2 linked regions of the Anolis sagrei genome follow. The protein of the gene in region 2 interacts with the protein of the main gene of each other region in a biochemical or structural test. Links are inferred from orthologs where the notes say so. Each region holds a gene or a part of one and is shown on either strand. Other genes may lie near its edges.

Region 1 (12,002 bases), on a different chromosome or scaffold from region 2:
TCAAGATATCTCCAACTTATGGCCATCTAAAACATCTCAAGGTATCTCCAACTTATGGTCATCTAAAACATCTCAAGGTATCTCCATCTTATGGTCATCTAAAACATCTCAAGGTATCTCCAACTTATGGCCATCTTCTCAAGGTATCTCCAACTTATGGCCATAGAATCAAAGAGTTGGAAGAGACCTCATGGGCCATCCAGTCCAACCCCCTGCCAAGAAGCAGGAATATTGCATTCAAATCACCCCTGACAGATGGCCATCTAAACTTATGGCCATCCAAAACATCTCAAGGTATTTCCAACTTATGGTCATCTAAAACATCTCAAGGTATCTCCATCTTATGGTCATCTAAAACAGCTCAAGGTATCTCCATCTTATGGTCATCTAAAACATCTCAAGATATCTCCAACTTATGGCAATCTAAAACATCTCAAGATATCTCAAACTTATGGCCATTTAAAACATCTCAAGATATTTCCATCTTATGGTCCTCTAAAACATCTCAAGGTATCTCCAACTTATGACCATCTCATAGAATCCTAGAGTTGGAAAAGACCTGGTGGGCCATCATCCAGTCCAACCTCATTCTGCCAAGAAGCAAGACAATCGCACTCAAGGCACCCCCCCCCCGACAGATGGCCACCCAGCCTCTCTATCAAAGACTCCATTGAAGGAGCCTCCACCACACTCCAAGGCAGAGAGTTCCACTGCTGAACAGCTCTCTCATACAGTCGGGAAGTTCTTCCTAATGTTACTGTTATGATTGTTTATTCTTTTGGGGTTCCCCTCAATGCCATATTTTCTTTCCTACCTCATCCAGGGTTTTATCATTTTACTTCGTCCCTTTGGCCTGCCCATTCTGTTCAATTTTATATTGTGTTAATTTGTTTTATTTATCCTATTTTGCTACTGTACGTATTTTATTTTGATGTAATTTTTTGTTGTCTGCATTCTATATCTTATTTTGTAGTTTTGCTATTTTTGCGCTTGGCCTCATATTAGCCGTCCCGAGTCCCCTTTGGGGAAATGGTGGCGGGGTATAAATAAAGATTATTATTATTATTATTATTATTATTAGAAACACAACAGGATGAGTCCACAGCAGACAAGGTCACTCTGCTGCCTGTTGTATTGGATCACACGTTGGACACTTCCCAAGTGTGTAGGACTATTATTGTTGTTGTTATTATTATTATTATTATTATTATTATTACTGTGTTGATGATTATTATTATTAAGTGTCTAGGATTATTATGATTATGATTACTATTATTGTTAGCCACCACGAGTTGGAAGATGGTGGCAGGGTATAAATAAAGATTATTATTATTATTATTATTATTATTATTATTATTATTATTTGAAACACAATAAGATGAGTCCACTGCTGACAAGATCACTGCTGGCTGTTGTATTGGGTCACATGTCAGACATCTCCCAAGTGTCTAGGATTATTATTATTATTATGTGTCTAAGATTATTATTATTGTTGTTGTTGTTGTTAGCCGCCCCAAGTCGGGAGATGGTGGCGTGGTTTAAATAAAGATTATTATTATTATTATTATTATTAGAAACGCTGTAAGATGAGTCCACAGCAGACAAGATCACTCTGTTGGCTGTTGTGTTGGATGACACGTTGGACACTTCCCAAGTGTCTAGGACTATTACTATTATTATTATTGTTATTATTATCATGATGATGATTATTATTATTATTAAGTGTCTAGGATTATTATTATTATTATGTGTCTAAGATTATTATTATTGTTGTTGTTGTTGTTAGCCGCCCCAAGTCGGGAGATGGTGGCGTGGTTTAAATAAAGATTATTATTATTATTATTATTATTAGAAACGCTGTAAGATGAGTCCACAGCAGACAAGATCACTCTGTTGGCTGTTGTGTTGGATGACACGTTGGACACTTCCCAAGTGTCTAGGACTATTACTATTATTATTATTGTTATTATTATCATGATGATGATTATTATTATTATTAAGTGTCTAGGATTATTATTATTATTATGTGTCTAAGATTATTATTATTGTTGTTGTTGTTGTTAGCCGCCCCAAGTCGGGAGATGGTGGCGTGGTTTAAATAAAGATTATTATTATTATTATTATTATTAGAAACGCTGTAAGATGAGTCCACAGCAGACAAGATCACTCTGTTGGCTGTTGTGTTGGATGACACGTTGGACACTTCCCAAGTGTCTAGGACTATTACTATTATTATTATTGTTATTATTATCATGATGATGATTATTATTATTATTAAGTGTCTAGGATTATTATTATTGTGATGATGATGATGATTATTAAGTTTCTAGGAGTATTATTATTATTGTTGTGATGATTATTCATCATCATCATCATCATCATCATCATATTTAATAACTTATTAATCGCCCTCCATCCGAGAATGCTGTAGGCAATTTACATTATTAATTGTCTAGGACTACTACTACTACTATTATTGTGATGATTATTATTAAGTGTCTAAGACTATTATTATTATTATTATTGTCTAGGACTACTATTATTGTTATTATTATTATTATTAAGTATCTAGGACTATTATTGTTATTACTATGTGTCTAAGACTATTATTAGTATTAAGTGTCTAAGATTATTATTATTGTCTAAGACTGTTATTATTATTATTATTATTATTATTAAGTATATAGGACTATTATTATTATTATTAAGTGTCTAGGAGTACTATTATTATTATTACTATTGTGATGATGATGATGATTAAGTGTCTAGGACTATTATTATTGTGATTATTATTATTAAGTGTCTAGAATTATTATTATTATTATTATTATTATTATTATTGTGATTATTACTATTATTGTTAGCCGCCCTGAGTCGGGAGATAGTGACGGAGTATAAATAAAGACTATTACTATTATTATTATTTGAAGCACTACAAGATGAGTCCACACGTCGGACATCTCCCAAGTGTCTAAGATTATAATTATAATTACTGTGATGATGATGATGATGATGATGATTATTATTAAGTGTCTAGGACTACTACTACTATTATTATTATTATTATTATTGTGATGATGATGATGATTATTATTATTATTCCGTGTCTAGGACTATTGTTATTATTATTATTGCCAACCCCTCTGGAGAGAGGGCCAGCCCCATTTGAAAGGTCCCAGAAGGAGGCCTGTCTCCATGCTGGATTGGGAGAGCACCCCCCCCCCAGGGCCCTGTTTAACCCGTCCCGGTAGAGGGCCAGTAGCTCTGCCTCTTTCCCTCCTCCTCCCTCCCTCCCTTGTGCCATGGCGGGACCCGTCCCGACCCCTCCCGACAGAGGTCCCCCCCCCCCCCCCCCCCGAGGCCCATGGAGCTGACTGTCTGACTGACCCTTGGTTGAGGTCATTCTCATGGTTATGGGAGAGAGAGAGCGCCCCCTGAAGATGATGATTATTATTGTGATTATGATTATTATTATTAAGTGTCTAGGAATGTTATTATTATTATTAAAATTATTATCATTGTGATGATGATGATTCAGTGTCTAGGATTATTATTATTACTATTGTGATGATGATGATGATTAAGTGTCTAAGACTTATTATTATTATTATTAAATGTCTAAGACTATTATTAGTATTATTAAATGTCTAAGACTATTATTATTATTATTGTCTAAGACTATTATTATTATTAAGTGTCTAAGACTTATTATTATTATTATTAAGTGTCTAAGACTATTATTATTATTATTAAGTGTCTAAGACTTATTATTATTAAATGTCTAAGACTTATTATTATTATTAAGTGTCTAAGACTTATTATTATTATTGTCTAAGACTATTATTAGTATTATTAAGTGTCTAAGACATTATTATTATTATTAAGTATCTAAGACTTATTATTATTATTAAGTGTCTAAGACTTATTATTATTATTAAGTGTCTAAGACTATTATTATTATTATTAAGTGTCTAAGACTTATTATTATTAAATGTCTAAGACTTATTATTATTATTAAGTGTCTAAGACTTACTATTATTATTGTCTAAGACTATTATTAGTATTATTGTGTCTAAGACTTATTATTATTAAGTGTGTAAGACTTATTATTATTATTATTATTATTATTAAGTGTCTAAGACTATTATTGGTATTATTAAGTGTCTAGGACTACTATTACTATTATTATTGTGATGATGACTATTATTAAGTATCTAAGACTATTGTTGTTGTTGTTGTTGTGATGATGAGGAGCCAACCCTTCCGGAGAGAGGGCCAGCAGCCCCCTTTGAAAGGTCCCAGAAGGAGGCCTGTCTCCATGCTGGATTGGGAGAGCACCCCACCCCCCACGGGCCCCGTTTAACCCCTCCCTGCAGAGGGCCAGCAGGCCTGCCTCTTTCCCTCCTCCCTCCCTGCCATGGCGGGACCCGTCCCAACCCCTCCGGAGAGAGGTCCATCCGGATGCCCATCAGACTGACCCTTGGTTGAGGTCATTCTCGGTGTTGTCCAGCCAGAGCCGCACGGCCACGGCGTTGCCCTCCCGGCACTGCGCGAAGATGTCGTCCATGGCCGGACTGCAAGGAAGGGAGGAAGGCAGGCAGGCAGGCAGGAAGGCTCCTCCTCAGCTCTCCCTCCTTCGTGGCTGTGGCTGTGCGTGGGTCTCCCACCCGGGGCGGCGCCCACTCCCTCCTGGCCGGACAAGGGACTGCAAGGGCGGAGCCCACACTAGCATCACTACCACCACAAGGCCGCACCGAGGGAGGGAGCCTCCAGGGGGCGCTCTCTCTCTCTCTGTCTCCCTCTCTATCGCCGGAACTGACTTCCTTCCTACTACCACAAGGCAGCACGGAGGGAGGGAGGGAGGGAGCCAGCCTCCAGGGGCGCTCTCTCCTTCTCCCTCTCTATCGCCGGAACTTACTTCCTTCCTACTACCACAAGGCAGCCGAGAGGGAGGGAGCCTCCAGGGGGCGCTCTCTCTCTCTCTCTGTCTCCCTCTCTATCGCCGGAACTTCCTTCCTTCCTACTACCACAAGGCAGCACGGAGGGAGGGAGGGGGCCTCCAGGGGGCGCTCTCTCCTTCTCCCTCTCTATCGCCGGAACTTCCTTCCTTTCTTACTTCCTTCCTTCCGGTCCGCAGCGTGCCACTTCCGGGCTTCCCTCCTTCCTGCCTGGCTCCACCGCCGCCGGGAGGAAGATGTTCGAGGAGGGCGAGTGGGACGAGGGCGGGACCTCGGTGGGGACGACGGCGCCCTGGGGGACAACCAAGAGGGCGGGCAAGGTGAGGAGAAGGGGTGGCTGGGGGTCCTCTTGGGCTAAGGCCTGGGCCTAAGAATCCTACCATCCTCGAGTTGGCTACCATCCAGGGCAGTCACGTTCAAAACACCCCCAACAGATGGCCATCCAGCCTCTGGTTTGGGCCTTAGAATCCTACAATCCTCCAGTTGGCTACCATCCAGGGCAGTCACGTTCAAAACACCCCCAACAGATGGCCATCCAGCCTCGGCTTCAAAGCCTCCAGAGAAGGAAGGAGCCTCCACCACACTCCAGGGCAGAGAGTTCCAACACTGAACAGCTCTCAGAGTCAGGAAGTTCTTCCTCATGTTGTAACTATTATTATTATTGTGATGATGAGCCAACCCCTCCAAACACATGGCCATCGAGCCTCTGCTTCAAAGCCTCCAAAGAAGGAAGGAGCCTCCACCACACTCCACGGCAGAGAGTTCCACTGCTGAACAGCTCTCACAGTCAGGAAGTTCTTCCTAATGTTGTTACAGGGCCTTTTCTGTGGTGGCCCCCCAACTCTGGAACACCCTCCCCAAAGATCTTAGACAGGCCCCTCCATTGGCAATCTTCAGAAAGAACTTGAAGACCTGGCTGTTCCGATGTGCCTTCCCAGAATAGGAATCTCCAATACCAAGTCCCAGAAGCACTTTAGTAGAACTAAGATCGCTGCACACCGCACACTGCACTTGCCCTATAATCCTACATACCTCCTGCCACATCAGCACTTTTAATCTTGTACCCATGACTCTGGCCCGGCCCAGTTTTATAGTGTCTTGATGTATTGTTTATTGCTTGTTGTTTATTCTACTTAACTGGTTTTTAATTTGCTTTAGGTATTGTATTGCTGTATGGTGTTTTGAGGCCTTGGCCTGTGTAAGCTGCATCGAGCCCTTCGGGAGATGCTAGCAGGGGACAAATAAAGTTATTATTATTATTATTATTATTATTATTATTGTGATGATGAGCCAACCCCTCCAATTATTATTATTGTTGTGATGATGAGCCACAGATGGTCATCCAGCACTATTATTATTGTTGTTGTGATGAAGAGCCAACCCCTCCAAACAGATGGCCATCCAGCCTCTGCTTCAAAGCCTCCAAAGAAGGAAGGAGCCTCCACCACACTCCCTCTGAAGCAAGAGTTCTCACAGGATTCCACCAGAACAGTTAGGAAGTTCTTCCCAATGTTCAGGTGGAATCCCCCTTTCCTGTAGTTATTTGTGTTCTGGCATTGAATGTTTACTATTTTTGATATTTGTTGTGACCTGCCCTGAGTCCCTTTGGGGAGAGAGGGCGATCTATAAAGTAGGGTGTTCCCTCGCTACTTCATGGTTCTCTTTTAGCGGACTCGCTGTTTTGCAGGTTTTTGAAATATATATATATATATAACATAAAATATTTACATCCAGTAGAGGCCAGGGATCCCAGAAGTGCAGCGCAGAAGGCCTGCCTCATAGAATCGTAGAATTGGAAGAGACTGTAGGCCATCCAGTCCAACCCCATTCTGCCAAAAAGCAGGAATATCACATTTAGAGCACCCCCGACAGAAGGACATCCAGCCTCTGTTTAAAAGCATCCAAAGAAGGAGCCTCCACCACACTCTCTCCGGGCCAGAGAGTTCCACTGCTGAACGGCTCTTACAGTCAGGAAGTTCTTCCTCATGTTCAGATGGAATCTCCTTTCTTGTAGTTTGAAGCCATGGCTCCATTGTGTCCTAGTCTCCAGGGCAGCAAAAAGAAAGCATCCTGTTTCCTACCTATGTCTTCCCCTCACATATTTATACTCTTCCAACTCTAGGATTCTATGATTCTAAAGCAGAGTCTTGGGTGACCCTATGTGGCAGGCATGGGGAACCTTCGGCCCTCCAGGTGTGGTGGACTTCAACTCCCACAATTCCTTGAGGCTCGGCATTCGCCCCAAAGGCTTACCGAGCCTCAAGGAATTGTGGGAGTTGAAGTCCACCACACCTGGAGGGCCGAAGGTTCCTGACCCCTGCATGTGGTCTCTTCCAACTCTATGAGTCTATGTTTTGGTTTTTCCTCCCTGCAGGGCCCCCCAGCCCCGAGCGGCTCCCACCAGCGCCTCCGCCTCCTGGCCACGCTTCGTCGCCTGGAAGGCTTGGGGGGCGCCCAGAAGGCCCCGCCTAGCCCCACTTCCTCTGGGTCAGAAGGGGAGGAGGATGAGGAAGGCAGCGGGGAGGAAGAGGAGAAGCCCCAGCGGAAGCGGAGGAAGAGGAAGCCCAGGAGGACACGGCAGCGGGAGGAGCAGCCCTGCCTCCCCTCGGGAGCCGAGAAGAAGGGCGACCACCAGCAGAAGCAGCCGGGCAACAATGGTGGGTGGCAGGGCTGAGGCCCCATTCATTAGTAACATAACACTGTAGCCCAGGCATGAGGCAACTTCCGCCCTCCCTCCAGGAGTTTTGGATTTCAACTCCAAATGTTTGAGGAATTGTGGGACTTGTAGTCCAAAACAACTGGAGGGCCAAAGTATGAGCCAGCACTGCCTACGTATAAGTCTATGGTGGGATAAAGAGGAGAAACGTGTGCAGGAAGACGCCTTGACAAGGTGCAAAGAAAAGGTAAACAATGACTTTGATTCTTGTGCATAATAATTCTCACCTTGAAGGGGACTCAGAGTGGCTTGCAAGATATATTTAAATACAAAATATTATATTATTTGCATAGTACAATAGTATTATATATTACTATATTGCACTATACCATTATATTGTAATATTATTAGTAATATTACATATAATATAAATATATAATTATAATATTGTATTACTAGTATTATAGTATTATATTACAAAACAACACACCCATCCTTCTACACCCCCATCACCCCTGCACAGCCCCCAGTGCTACATCATTGCAAAACCATGGATAGCACTAGGATAAAAGCTGTTTGTCCTTGTCTTTGTCACTGTGTGCCATCTGCCAGGTGGCAATAATTCATAAAAATTCGGTTCATATCTGTGTGCCGGGCATCTTGAGGCAGAGAGGAGCCTCACAGCGCTCCCTTCTCAAACAAAAGGAGCAAGGAAGGCACACTAAAGACTTTTGGGAAGAAGGGAGCTGACCTTTGCAAGTGGGGCAGGAAAGAGAACTGCCTTGAGCTAGACAGTTTGAGGAAGTGGAGCCAAAGTAAGGCAGCAGGCAGGCACTGCAGGGCTCCCTCTGTCCCCAGTTGCTCTCCCTGGAGAGGAGTGTTTATGCACCCAGTGCAGTGAGTGCTTTTCTTCCCAGGTGAGGCAGCGCCTTCGGAGCCCAGAACCGAGCCCTTCACCTGCAGGAAGACCCCTGGCAGCGAGGAGGGGGCCACCAAGGAGGAGCCGAAGGGGCCGCTGCTGAGCAGGAAGCAGTGGAGGAACCGCCAGAAGAACAAGCGTCGGCAGAAGAACAAGTACAAGAGCCCGGGGGACGCATCGGCTGCAGGGGGGGCCCCAGCGGACGTAGCCCAGCCCCCAGACCCAGGAGAGCCCCCTGGCAGCCCGGGAAAGGGGTCAGAAGGGGAGGCCGTGGCGGCGCTCCCAAAGGCCGAAGGGGGGCGGGGGGCGTCCCTGCGGCTGCGCATGGAGGAGCGCCTGGAGGCCGCGCGCTTCCGCTTCCTCAACCAGCAGCTGTACTGCCGGCCCAGCCAGGAAGCGGGGCAGCTCTTCAAGGAGGACCCCCAGGCCTTCGCCATCTACCACCGGGGATTTGCCCGGCAGATGGACCACTGGCCGGAAAAGCCCGTCCAGCGCATTGTGCGCTACCTGCGCCACAGGTGAGAACTCCCCTTCCCCCTTTGCCTGTGCCCCTCGGGGGACACTTGCGGAGTTGATGATGATGATAATAGCCATGTATAAATATGTGAGAGGAAGCCACAGGGAGGAGGAGGGAGCAGGCTTCCTTTCTGCTTCCCTGGAGACTAGGATGCAAGGGAGCAATGGCTTCAAACTACAAGAGAGGAGATTCCATCTGAACATGAGGAAGAACTTCCTGACTGTGAGAGCCGTTCAGCAGTGGAACTCTCTGCCCCGGAGTGTGGTGGAGGCTCCTTCTTTGGAAGCTTTTAAGCAGAGGCTGGATGGCCATCTGTCAGGGGTGATTTGAATGCAATATTCCTGCTTCTTGGCAGAATGGGGTTGGACTGGACGGCCCATGAGGTCTCTTCCAACTCTTTGATTCTAGGATTCTATGATGATTATTATTTGATTACTCCTGTTTCTCCTTATCTCGCTCGAGTTCTGAATCAGTTTTTAATTAGTTTTCTTTTAATCATTACATGTAGCCTGCCCATTGTAATATACAATTGTCATTGTGATTGTGTTTATTGTAATTTTATATTGTTATGTATTCATATGTGTTATGTAATTATGATGCTGTTGTTTATTGTTTGCGTTTTCCGTTTTCTTCTGCTGTAATTTGTTGTCTGGGCTTGGCTTCATGTAAGCCGACCCGAGTCCCCAGCGGGGAGATGGTGGCGGGGTAGAAATAAAGATTATTGTTATTATTATTATTATTATTATTATTATTACTCCAAAGCCAACAAGATCACTTTGCTGGCTTTTGTATATCATCACATGTCAGACACTACCCCAAGTGTCTAGGACTGTGTGATGTGTTGGCAAATAATGTGTACAGATATGAATAGGGTGATTATTATTATTATTATAACTTTATTTGTACCCCGCTAGCATCTCCCAAGGGATTCGATGCGGCTTACAACAGGCCGAAGCCCACACAGATACAACAATACAACAATACAACAGTACCTAGCAAGTAAATAGTTAAGCAAAACAATAACAAAAGTAGTACAACAAGACATTATTAAAACCGGGCCGGCCAGAGTGGGGGTACAGGATTAAAAGTGCTGATGTGTCGGAGGGATATGGGGTTATAGTATAAGTGCAGTGTGCGGTGATCTTGGTTCTGACTAAAGTGCTTCTGGGATTTGGTACTGGGGTTCCTAGTCTGAGAAGGCACATTGGAACAGCCAGATTTTCAAATTCTTTCTGAAGACTGCCAATGTAGGGGCTTGTCTGAGGTCTTTCGGGAGGGCATTCCAGAGGCGGGGGGCCACCACAGAGAAGGCCCTGTCCCGTGTCCCCACCAAACGCGCTTGTGACGCGGGCGGGATCACGAGCAGGGTCTCTCCAGATGATCGGAGTGAACGTTATTATTATTATTATTATTATTATTAATAATAATAATAATAATACTCCACTCTGTCTCTCCTGGAGGAGATGCAAATTGGCATTAAAAGCATGACTGTACAATTTGAAATAAATAACTATAAAAATTAGAAGGATTCCCGTAGAAATGTTACTTTTAATTTAAAAAAGAAGGGGGAAAATATCATTGGCATGCTAGATTATTAATTGCAAAATATTGGAAAGGGGAAATGAAAATACAGATTAGTGAATGGTATAAGGAAGTCTGGAAAATGGTACCAAACGATATGCTAACATGACTGAGGCTGCCGAGGGGGAAAAGGAAGGGGCCTGAGGCTGTTAGGAATGGTGGGAGTTGAAGTCCAAAACCCCTGGAGGGAGGGAGGGAGGGCCCAAGTTGGCCCGTGCCTGAGCTAAATAGAATGGCTGTCTGTTGAGAGGATGCCTGGCAGAAGGGGACTTGGCTAGGCAGCCCTTGTGGCCTCTTCCAGCTCAACTAGGATTCCATGGCTCTCACCCCACTGCTCTCTCTCCTCCCTCTCAACCCAGGCCGGCTTCTCTGGTGGTGGCCGACTTCGGCTGTGGCGACTGCACTCTTGCGCGCAGCGTCCGGAACCAGGTGCACTGCTTCGATCTGGAGGCGCTGGACCCGCGCGTCATCGTCTGCGACATGAGCCAGGTACGGAGGGGAGGGCCGTGGCACTGATGGCCGCGGCTGGGGCTCCTTTGGGCAAGCGGTTCCCCTGAGAGACCCATGGGGCCCCATGAGCTGGTGGCCCCCTGCCCCTCACCTGCGTGCCTTGTTCTTCTTTCCTCCGTTCAGGTCCCTCTGGAAGACGAGTCGGTGGACGTGGCCGTCTTCTGTTTGGCCCTCATGGGGACCAACGTGCAAGAGATCCTGGCGGAGGCCAGCCGAGTGCTGCGCATGGGGTGAGTGTCTGCTGCAGGCTTCAAAATAATCACACTTCGTAACATTGGTGGAGACGTGATAACCATGTATAAATATGTGAGCAAAAGTCCTAGGGAGACGGGAGCAGGCTTATTTTCTGCTGCCCTGGAGACCAGGACGCAATGGACCAATAATAATAATAATAATACAAAGACTCTGGTACAAGCCAGTAAAGATGGTCCCAGTGGTGATCGGCACACTGGGCGCAGTGCCTCAAGACCTTGGCCTGCACTTAAACACAATCAGCACTGACAAAAACACCATCTGCAGAAAGCCACCTTACTGGGATCTGCACACATTATTCGCCGATACATCACACAGTCCTAGACACTTGGGAAGCGTCCGACGTGTGATCCAATCCAACAGCCAGCAGAGTGATCTTGTCTGCTGTGGACACATCTTGTTGTGTTTCAAATAATAATAATAATAATAATAATAATAATAATAATAATAATAATATCACCATCAAAACAAACCTCTATACAACTTGGATTGATTACAAAAAAGCATTTGACTCACTGCCGCATTGTTGGATTATCAAATGTCTAGATGTCATCGGGGTTTGTGAAAACATTAGAAAGTTCACTGAAAATGCAATGAAACAATGGAAAA
Region 2 (12,041 bases):
ATACGGTTTTCTAAGGCTAGGAATATTCGGTAGTGATGTAACCCGTTACTATTTAAAGCTATAGATATTGTGTATGTGTCTTCAAGTTGTCTGCCAACTTATGGTAACTCTGTGAATTCCATAGGTTTTTCTTGTTGTTGTTGTTCATTCGTTTAGTCGTCTCCGACTCTTCGTGACCTCATGGACCAGCCCACGCCAAAGCTCCCTGTCGGCCGTCACCACCCCCAGCTCCTTCAAGGTCAGTCCAGTCACTTCAAGGATGCCATCCATCCATCTTGCCCTTGGTCGGCCCCTCTTCCTTTTGCCTTCCACTTTCCCCAGCATCATCTTCTCTAGGCTTTGCTGTCTCCTCATGATGTGGCCAAAGGACTTCAACTTTGTCTCCAGTCTCCTTCCCTCCAGTGAGCAGTCGGGCTTTATTTCCTGAGAAATGGACTGGTTGGATCTCCTCGCAGTCCAAGGCACTCTCAGAACTTTCCTCCAACACCACAGCTCAAAAGCATCTATCTTCCTTTGCTCAGCCTTCCCTAAGGTCCAGCTCTCACATCCGTAGGTTTTTCTTAGGCAAGGAGTATTGAGAGGGCCTTTTACCAGGTCCTTCGCCTGAAATAAAGTCTACAATGCCTGGGATTCATAGGCAGTCTCCCTTGATGGAGCAATGGGTTAAACCCTCGTGCCGGCAGGACTGCTGACTAAAAGGTCAGCAGTTCAAATCCAGGGAGCAGGGTGAGCTCCAATCTGTCAGCTCTAGCTTGTTTACTGCTTCCATGGAGATTAGGACAAGGAACAGTGGCTTCAAACTGCAAGAAAGGAGATTCCATCTGAACAGGAGGAAGAACTTCCTGTGAGAGCCGTTCAGCAGTGGAACTCTCTGCCCCGGAGTGTGGTGGAGGCTCCTTCTTTGGAAGCTTTTAAACAGAGGCTGGATGGCCATCTGTCAGGGGTGCTTTGAAGGCAATATTACTGCTTCTTGGCAAGGAGCCCATGAGGTCTCTTCCAACTCTTTGATTCTATGATTCCCATGCAGGGACATGAGAGAAGCCTCTCACAGGATGGTAACACATCCGGGTAACGTCCTTGCAGATTGCCAATTCTCTCACAACAGAAGCAACTTGCAGTTTCTCAAGTCCCTCCTGACACAGAAAAAAATTCCAAATATAGCCAAAAGCTGACTCTATGTAGCTTCCAAGATCAGACAGGATCTGGTGCCTTTAGGGTACAATATTTGGCCCCTTTCTTTGTCTTAAGAGTTCCCCTGTTATTTTAAATGCCTAAGCTAACTGTGCAGGAGTTAAGGATCTACAATAATAATAATAATAATAATAATAATAATAATAACACTTTATTTATACCCTGCTACCATCTCCCAAGGGACTCGGTGCGGCTTACATGAGGCGAGCCCACAAAACATCAATACATGCAATAACAACCACAATACAAAGCAAAATACAAACATGAAACATTTCCAAAAGGAACATGGATAATACTACTCAACAGTTAGAGATGTGAAGCACAAGTCGAAAGAAAGAAAGGGAAAGAGAAAGAAGGGTAACACACACGTTCTTCTCCAAGATAATGATGAAAGGGGTGGCCTTCCGACAAGAGCAGCAAACAGAAAACTAGGGCTGCTGAAAACTAAACAGGGCAAACAAACTGAATCCTCAATTTCTGGTGGAACGAATGTAGAAATAGGTGAACTAAAACTGAAAAGAGAGGCCAAGGTGGAAAAAAGAAGCTCCTACAAATGTGCATGTCTGCATATACATGTCTGCACACCCTTAACAGCTTATAATAATTCTGAAGGTAAAGCTGCATTTATTTTCCAAAACATGTATTCAAGCATCAATAGTATCACGATTATTATGATAAGACTCGTGCTGATAAAACTGCAAGAGAAACTTTAAGCGAGCGCGGTTTGACAACGTGAGCGGCACATTGCTGTGCAAGGACAACACCTGACATAAAATGGAATTTGTAAACAATCAAAGTATTATTGTAATGTCTGTTCTTCAACAGACATGCATTTATATAGCTTTCCAATAATCATAATTAATATCAGCTGTTAAAAGCAGACATGGGCCAACTTGGGCCCTCCAGGTGTTTTGGACTTCAACTCCCACAATTCCTAACAGCCTACCAGCAGTTAGGAATTGTAGAAGTTAAAGTCCAAAACACCTGGAGAAAAGGCCCAAGTTGGCCCAGGCCTAATTAAAATCTTCCATATCCCCCAATATATTCCACTAACTATAGGGGGGGGGGCAAGTATGGAGCCCCATCCCCACAAACGGTTCACAGCTCAGAAAGCATAAACACACTGCGCACACTGCACCCATATTCCCTTCATACATCCTGAAGTAAAGGGGGACATAGCTTAAAGGGGGGAGGTTAAAGGTAAAGGTTGTCCCCTGACATTAAGTCCAGTCATGTCTGACTCTGGGGTGTGGTGCTCATCTCCATTTCTAAGCCGAAGAGCCAGCGTTGTCCATAGACACCTCCAAGGTCATGTGGCCGGCATGACTGCATGGAGCGTCGTTACCTTCCCGCCGGAGCAGTACCTACTCACATTTGCATGTTTTCGAACTGCTAGGTTGGCAGAAGCTAGTGCTGACAGTGGACGCTCACGCCGCTCTCCGGAATCGAACCTGCGACCTTTCGGTCAAGAAGCTCAGCAGCTCAGTGCTTTAACCCACTGCGCCACTGGGGGCACCTTAAAGGGGGGAACGGGACCCCAAAAAGCTTTCTCAGATTACAAAGAGTGAAAGCAAGGGGGGGGGGGGAGTCCCAAGATGAAGCTATATATATAATATTCCACAACTTAGGAGAGATAGTAAAGTGAAAGTAAGGGGGGGGGGCACCCTGGCCTAAAATGAGGGAGGGGGATAGTTCATTCCCATATTTATTTATTTACTTTACTTTACTTGTATACCGCAGTTTCTCAGCCCAACAGGCGACTCAACGCAGTTTACAACAAGGATAAAAATCAATCAATGATATACAATTTAAAATCATAAGAGCATAATATACAATATTGACACAACAGTAAACAACACAATGCATCTCATAACTAAAGTCGTGATCCAATTCGTCGTCGATATTCCCCCCACACAATTCCCTAATGTTTGCACATGCATCCCACCGCTTAGAAAGGGATACTCCCCTCATGCATTCTATGGCTGAAGAAAGAGAGACTCCAATCCTCACATACACATCACAGCCTGGAAGGGTGCAAAGTAAATGGGGGGGGGGGGGGTCATTTCATTCCATAGGCTAAAATGGTGGAGACCCCAAATAGGTTTACCAGCTGAGAAAGAGTGAAAGCAAAAGAGAGGGCCCTAAAAGGAATTCCCCCACAAACAATATCCCACAGCTTAGAAGGAGAGAAAATAAAAGGGAAGTGGGGAAAGTAGAGGGGAAACCCCCATATTCATCACATAGAGTTCCCAGCCTAAAATAGTCAATAGCAAAAGTATCTGCTAATAATAATAATACCCGTGTCTCTGAAGCATTTTCTAGGTCCTCCATGACTATTAGTAGTAATAATAATATTAGCTGCCTATCCAAGTCATTTTTAAGATCTTCCATCAATAATAATAATAACAACAGAATAATAATAATAATAATAATAATAATAATAATAATAGAATAATATCTGCCTAACCAATGCATTTTCTATATTCACCATTACAATAATTGATAATGATGATAATAATAAACTTAAGAAAGGGGCAGGGGCTTCCATATTGTCTTCATACATTCCATATCTTAAAAGGGGAGAAAACCCCAAATAGGTTTCCCATCTTAGAGTGAAAGCAAAAAGAGAGGGTCCTAAAATGAATTGGAGGGAGAGAAAGTAAAGGGAAATTAGTTTGGGTTGTTGTGGATTTTTTGGGCTCTATGGCCATGTCTATGGCATTCTCTTCTGACGTTTCGCCTACATCTATGGCAAGAGCTTGTGAGGAGAGGGTCCTGAAATGAATCCCCTCAGAAACAATATTCCACCGTTTAGAAAGAAAGAAAATAAAGGTAAATTAGTTTGGGTTGTTGTAGGTTTTTTGGGCTATATGGACACGTCCTAGAAGCATTCTCTCCTGACGTTTCGCCTACATCTATGGCAAGAGTGAAAGTCAAAGTAGAGGGTCCTAAAATGAACTGGAAGGAGAGAAAGTAAAGGGAAATTAGTTTGGGTTGTTGTAAGTTTTTGGGGCTATATGGCCACCTCCTAGAAGCATTCTCTTCTGACGTTTTGCCTACATCTATGGCAAGTGGTTGTGAGGAGAGGGTCCTGAAATGAATCCTCCCACAAATAATACTCCACAGTTTAGAAGGAGAGAAAATAAAGGGAAATTAGTTTGGGTTGTTGTAGGTTTTTTGGGCTATATGGCCACATTCTAGAAGCATTCTCTCCTGACGTTTCGCCTGCATCTTATGGCAAGAGGTTGTGAGGAAATTAAGTTTTCCCAGCAGAGGAAGAGTGAAAGCAAAGGAGAGGTTCCTAAAATAAATCCCCCACAAATAATATTCCACAGTTTAGAAGGAGAGAAAGTGAAGGGAAATTAGTTTGGGTTGTTGTAGGTTTTTTGGGCTATATGGCCACATTCTAGAAGCATTCTCTCCTGACATTTCGCCTATATCTATGGCAAGAGGTTGTGAGGACATTACATTTTCAAAGTAGAGGGCCCTAAAATGAATTGGAAGGAGAGAAAGTACAGGGAAATTAGCTTGGGTTGTTGTAGGTTTTTTGGGTTGTATGGCCACGTTCTAGAAGCATTCTCTCCTGACGTTTCGCCTACATCTATGGCAAGATGTTAAATCCCCCACAAATAATATTACAAAGTTTAGAAGGCGAGAAAGTAAAGGGGAATTAGTTTGGGTTGTTGTAGGTTTTTTGGGCTATATATGGCCATGCCCTAGAAGCATTCTCTCCTGACGTTTCGCCTATATCTATGGCAAGAGGTTGTGAGGAAATTAAGTTTTCCCAGCAGAGGAAGAAGAGTGAAAGCAATGGAGAGGGTCCTAAAATAAATCCCCCACAAATAACATCCCACAGTTTAGAAGGAGAAAAAGTAAAGGGAAATTAGTTTGGCCACGTTCTAGAAGCATTCTCTCCTGACATTTCGCCTACATGTATGGCAAGAGGTTGTGAGGAGAGGGTCCAGAAATGAATCCCCTCAGAAACAATATTCCACAGTTTAGAAGGAAGGAAATTAAAATAAAAGTGGGGAAAACAATGGAGGAGAAAAAAAACCTATATTCTTCACATACAATTCCCAACCTAGCAAGGTCAATAACAAACATATCCCACTCATTAAAGGGGTGGGGGAGGCTTCCATATTGTCCATATCATAAAAGGGGGGGAAGACCCCAAATAGGTTTCCCATCTTAGAGGGTCCTAAAATGAATTGGAAGGAGAGAAAGGAAAGGGAAAGCAAATAGAGAGTGAAAGCAAAAGGAGAGGGTCCCAAAATGAATTGGAAGAAGGAGAGAAAGTCAAAGGAGGAGCAAAAGGAGGAGTGTATTCCTCTCATTGAGTCCATAGCAGGCCTGGCCCAACTTGGGCCTTCCCTCCAGGGGGTTTGGACTCCAACTCCCACAATTCCTAACAGCCTATCGGCTGTTAGGAATTGTGGGAGTTGGAGTCCAAACCCCCTGGAGGGAAGGCCCAAGTTGGGCCAGGCCTGGAAGGCCTTCAACTCCACACTAGGCCTCATTCCCCTCAGACACACAAACACACAAATCTATCTCCCTCTCCCGCTGTATTACCTCTTCTCGCTTCTCCCTCCAAGCGCTGAATGGAAGGAGAAGCAGGAGAAGAAGAAGGCGGGACCCTCCTCCCTCCCTCCCTTTCTTTCTTTCCTTCTTTCCCTCCCCTTCTCCTCCTCCTTCTTCTCCTCCCCCTTTCCCTCCTCTCCGCCTGAAAGGGAGGGAGGGAGGGAACATCCGGGTCTCCGCGCCTTTCCTCAGAGGGGAGGGGGAGGAGGAGGAGGAAAGAAAGGAAGGAAGGAAGAAAGGGCGGGAAAACTTCCCTGAGGGGAACACAAGCTTGCCCAGTCTCTGCTCTTAAGATAGATGGATAGGTAGATGGATGGATGGATAGATAGATAGATAGATAGATAGATAGATAGATAGATAGATAGGTAGGTAGGTAGGTAGGTAGGTAGGTAGATAGATAGATGCATGAATAGATGGATAGGTAGGTAGGTAGGTGGGTGGGTGGGTGGGTGGATGGATGGATGGATAGATAGATGAATGGATAGATAGATAGATAGATAGATAGATAGATAGGTAGATGGATAGATAGATAGATGGATGGATGGATGGATGGATGGATAGGTAGGTAGATAGATAGATAGATGGATAGGTAGATGGATGGATAGATAGATAGATGGATGGATAGATGGATCAATCGATAGATAGATGGATGGATGGATAGGTAGATAGATGGATAGATAGATGGATGGATGGGTAGATAGATAGATAGATAGATAGATAGATAGATAGATGGATGGATGGATGGATGGATGGATAGGTAGATGGATGGATCGATAGATGGATGGATGGATAGGTAGATAGATATGTAGGTAGGTAGATAGATAGATGGATAGGTAGATAGATGGATGGATGGATGGATAGGTAGATGGATGGATCTTACTTTACTTACTTACTTAGGCGATCCCTCGTTGGACGACTAAGATGGTCTTCCATTATGGATTTCCCTGTGGGTCCGTATGTGGCTGTGGAGCCCTATTCTTGCTCTGCATCTTCTTCCGCAGTGAGGGCATTGGTTTCCAGGTGGAAGGTGGTCCCGGTCGGGGTTGGCTTGACGCGCCTTCCTCCTGGCACGTTTCTCTCTTTCGCCCTCCACTCGTGCCTCCTCAAATTCTGCAGCACTGCTGGTCACAGCTGACCTCCAGCTGGAGCGCTCAAGGGCCAGGGCTTCCCAGTTCTCAGCGTCTATGCCAGAGTTTTTAAGGTTGGGTTTGAGCCCATCTTTCAATCTCTTTTCCTGCCCAACAACATTCCATTTTCCTTTCTTGAGTTCAGAGTAGAGCAACTGCTTTGGGAGACGGTAGTCAGGCATCCGGACAACGTGGCCGGCCCAGCGGAGTTGATGTTGGAGGACCATCGCTTCAATGCTGGTGGTCTTTGCTTCTTCCAGCACGCTGACGTTTGTCCGCTTGTCTTCCCAGGAGATTTGCAGGATTTTCCGGAGGCAGCGCTGATGGAAACGTTCCAGGAGCTGCATGTGACGTCTGTAGACAGTCCACGTCTCACAGGCATAGAGCAGGGTTGGGAGGACAATAGCTTTATAGACAAGCACCTTGGTATCCCTATGGATGTCCCGGTCCTCAAACACTCTCTGCTTCATTCTGGAAAATGCTGCACTTGCAGAGCTCAGGCGGTGTTGTATTTCGGCGTCGATGTTGACTGGTGGAGAGGTGACTGCCAAGGTAGCGGAAATGGTCAACATTTTCTAATGTTACACCATTAAGCTGTATCACTGGCATTGGAGAGGGATTGGCTGGTGACTGCTGGAACAGCACTTTGGTTTTCTCAATGTTCAGCGACAGGCCGAGCTTCTCGTATGCATCTGCGAAGGTGTTTAGAGTGGCTTGTAGATCTTCTTCTGAATGCGCACAGACGACATTGTCATCAGCATACTGGAGTTCTATAACAGCTGTTGTTGTAACCTTGGTTTTGGCTTTCAGTCTGCTGAGGTTGAATAGCTTGCCATCTGTCCGATAGATTATTTCCACTCCGGTGGGAAGCTTCCCATCAACAAGGTGAAGTATCATAGCAATGAAGATGGAGAATAGAGTTGGGGCAATAACACATCCCTGTTTGACACCGGATTCCACTTTAAATGGGTCACTTTGGGAGCCATTGCTGTCCAAGACTGTTGCCATCATGTCATCATGGAGGAGCCGCAGGATGTTCACAAATTTGCTTGGGCACCCGATTTTTTGGAGGATGGTCCAGAGAGCGCTGCGATTCACTGTGTCGAATGCCTTGGCAAGGTCGATGAATGCCATGTACAGAGGTTGGTTTTGTTCTCTGCATTTTTCTTGGAGCTGTCGTGCAGTGAAGATCATATCCACGGTTCCTCTGGAGGGGCGGAAGCCATTCTGAGATTCTGGGAGGGTGTCTTCTGAGAGGGGCAGAAGGCGGTTTGCAAGGATTCTTGCGAGGATTTTCCCAGCGGAGGTTAGAAGGGAGATACCTCGATAGTTTCCACAGTCTGTTCTTTCCCCCTTTTTGAAGATAGATAGATAGGTAGATAGATGCATAGGTAGATAGAAAGATGGATAGGTAGATAGATAGATAAGATAAGATAGATAGATAGATAGATAGATAGATAAGATAGATGGATGGATAGATAGATAAGATAGATAGATAAGATGGATGGATGGATAGATAGATAAGATAGATAAGATGGATGGATGGATGGATAGATAGATAAGATAGATAGATAAGATAGATGGATGGATGGATAGATAGATAAGATAGATAGATAAGATGGATGGATGGATAGATAGATAGATAGGGTAGATAAATAGATGTAGAGATAGATAGATAGATAGATAGATATCTGTGTAGAAGGGGCCTAGAATGGAGAGATAGATAGATGCGGTAGATAGAGAGATAGATAGATAGATGTGTGGAAGATATCCATCCATCCAGATATCCATCCATCACAGATATCCATCCATCCATCTACCGTATCTCTCTCTACATCTATTTATCTATCTACCTACCTACCATATCTATCTATCCATCCATCGATCTATCTACTGTATCTATCTCTACATCTACCTACCTACCTCCCGTATCTATCTATCCATCCATCCATCCATCCATCCATCCATCTATCCTAGGCTCCTTCCACACAGATATCTATCTATCTATTGTAAGGGGCCTAGGATGGATAGATAGATGGAGAGATAGATAGATAGATAGATAGATAGATAGATAGATAGATAGATAGATGTGTGGAAAGAGCCTAGGATAGATGGATGGATAGATAGATACGGTAGGCAGGTAGATAGATAAATAGATGTCGAGATAAATAGATGGATAGATAGATATCTGTGTAGAAGGGGCCTAGAATGGAGAGATAGATAGACGCGGTAGATAGAGAGATAGATAGATAGATAGATGTGTGGAAAGAGCCTAGGATAGATGGATGGATAGATAGATCTGGTAGGCAGGTAGATAGATAAATAGATGTAGAGATAGTTAGATACGGTAGATGGATGGATGGATGGATGGATAGATAGATACGGTAGGTAGGTAGATAGATAAATAGATGTAGAGATAGATACGGTACATGGATGGATGGATAGATAGATATCTGTGTAGAAGTAGCCTAAGATAGATGGGTGGATAGATAGATACGGTAGGCAGGTAGATAGATAAATAGATGTAGAGGTAGATGGATGGGTGGATAGATAGATAGATAGATAGATAGATAGATAGATAGATAGATAGATAGATAGATATCTGTGTGGAAGGGGCCTAGGATGGATAGATAGATGAAGAGATAGATAGACGTGGTAGATATAGAGATAGTTAGATAGATAGATAGATAGATAGATAGATAGATAGATAGATAGATAGATAGATGGATGTGTGGAAAGAGCCTAGGATAGATGGATGGATAGATACGGTAGGTAGGTAGGTAGATGTAGAGATATATACAGTAGATAGATAGATGGATAGATAGATATCTGTGTGGAAGGAGCCTAGGATAGATGGATGGATGGATAGATAGATAGATAGATAGAGTAGGTAGGTAGGTAGGTAGGTAGATAAATAGATGTAGAGATAGATACAGTAGATTGATGGATAGATAGATATCTGTGTGGAAGGAGCCTAGGATAGATAGATAGATACGGTAGCTAGGTAGGTAGGTAGGTAGATAGATAGATAGATAGATAGATAGATAGATAGATAGATAGATAGATAAATAGCTGGCTGTGCAGAAGAGGCCCAGGATAGATAGATAGATGAATGAATGTGCGGAAGGGGCCTAGCATTGATTGACTGATTGATTGATGGCTTTGTGGAAGGGGCCTAGCATAGATAGAAAGATGGCTAGATAGCTGTGTGGAAGGGGCCTAGCATGGATAGATAGCACCCTCCGCTGTACAAGTAAAACCACTCAACAAGTCCTACCACTTTTATATAGGCACACACACACGCACACAACAAAGAAATAATAAGGAAACAAAGGGTCGCTGGGGAGCTTGCTTTGTCCTCCGTTTTCCTCTCGCCTCAGAAGAGTTGGTGTTTCCTTTTTAATTTATAGCTCAGCTTTTATTAGCCTGTATTATTTATTTAGGGCCATCCATCTATATGTTAAACAATCAAATCCGGTGTTCTTTCATGTGATAATAGCAGGGTTTAAATTTTAATTTATAGCCCGGTCTATATTATGATTTCTAGCATTATTGCATTTTTTAATTTGTTGCCATCAATGTATATGGCATTGTACAAGTAAAACAACCAAACGCAGTGGACTCTGCCAAAGACATACCTTCTAAATTATATGTGCGTGTATCTATTATACATATATATATATACACACACACACAGAGGAAGAAAAAAGCCAATGGGATTTTGGCCTGCATCAATAGGAGCATAGTGTCTAGATCTAGGGAAGTAATGCTACCCCCTCTATTCTGCCTTGGTTAGACCACATTATCTGGAATATTGTGTCCAGTTCTGGGCACCACAATTCAAGAGAGATATCGACAAGCTGGAATGTGTCCAGAGGAGAGCGACTAAAATGATCAAGGGTCTGGAGAACAAGCCCTATGAGGAGCGGCTTAACGAGCTGGGCATGTTTAGCCTGAAGAAGAGAAGGCTGAGAGGGGATATGATAGCCATGTATAAATATGTGAGAGGAAGCCACAGGGAGGAGGGAGCAAGCTTGTTTTCTGCTTCCTTGGAGACTAGGACGCAATGGAACAATGGCTTCAAACTACAAGAGAGGAGATTCCATCTGAACATGAGGAAGAACTTCCTGACTGTGAGAGCCGTTCAGCAGTGGAACTCTCTGCCCCGGAGTGTGGTGGAGGCTCCTTCTTTGGAAGCTTTTAAGCAGAGGCTGGATGGCCATTTGTCAGGGGTGATTTGAATGCAACATTCCTGCTTCTTGGCAGAATGGGGTTGGACTGGATGGCCCAGGAGGTCTCTTCCAACTCTTTGATTCTATGATTCTAAGAATAATAAGTGATCAAGGGGCCCATGAAGGGATTGCCTTGTCCTTCGGTTTCCTTGTGCTTTAGAATATACTAGCCATCCCCTGCCACGCATTGCTGTGGCCCAGTCTGGTGATCTGGAAAATAAAGTAATGGTTTCTAATATTTGTAATCCCTTTATGCTTGTGGGTAAACAGTATTCCTTGTTGTTTCTATGCCAATGTTGATGTGGTGATTGTCTAGTTTGCCTACTATGGAACATGCGACATATAATTGTCCTTCTTTAGGGGTCCCTTTCAAATCTATGATACTATATCTCTCTGTGTGTGAATCATATCTATCTATCTATCTATCTATCTATCTATCTATCTATCTATATCTATGGCTGGATGGCTCTTTGTCAGGAGGACTTTGATTACGTTTTCTTGCCCTGATGAAGGGAGTTGGATTGGATGGTCTTAAGTACTTTCTGATGGTCATGGGGGTTTAGTGTGGGAAGTTTGCCCCAATTCTGTCGTTCGTGGGGTTCAGAATGCTCTTTGGTGAACTGTGAATCCCAGTGACTACAACTCCCAAATGTCAAGGTCTATTTCCCCCAAACTCCATCTGTGTTCATATTTGGGCATATTGAGTGCTTGTGCCAACTTTGATCCAGATCCATCATTGTTTGAGTCCACAGTGCTCTCTGGATGTAGGTGAACTACAACTCCCAAACTCAATGTCAATACCCACCAAACCCTTCTAGTGTTGTCTGTTAGTCATGGGAATTCTGGTGCCAATTTTGGTTCAATTCCCTCGTTGGTGGAGTTCAGAATGCTCTTTGATTGTAGGTGAACTATA

What was found.
Region 1: the proteins of FERMT2 (region 2) and ILK form a complex in vitro, tested with the Homo sapiens proteins (2 studies listed by BioGRID). The link is inferred for Anolis sagrei from reciprocal best matches to the Homo sapiens genes FERMT2 and ILK.

What each region holds. Positions count from the first base shown.
Region 1 is NC_090023.1:1,048,727-1,060,728, forward strand, and holds the start of ILK (integrin-linked protein kinase), read right to left. Parts: upstream 4,568-12,002; coding exon 4,479-4,567; intron 3,409-4,478; exon of another isoform or gene 3,388-3,408; intron 1-3,387. Other genes in the region: RRP8 (ribosomal RNA-processing protein 8), read left to right, coding at 5,195-5,278, 7,333-7,615, 8,532-9,051, 10,991-11,120, 11,265-11,371. UniProt on the Homo sapiens protein: Scaffold protein which mediates protein-protein interactions during a range of cellular events including focal adhesion assembly, cell adhesion and cell migration.
Region 2 is NC_090021.1:339,282,735-339,294,775, forward strand, and holds the start of FERMT2 (fermitin family homolog 2), read right to left. Parts: upstream 5,831-12,041; 5' UTR 5,761-5,830; intron 1-5,760. UniProt on the Homo sapiens protein: Scaffolding protein that enhances integrin activation mediated by TLN1 and/or TLN2, but activates integrins only weakly by itself. Binds to membranes enriched in phosphoinositides.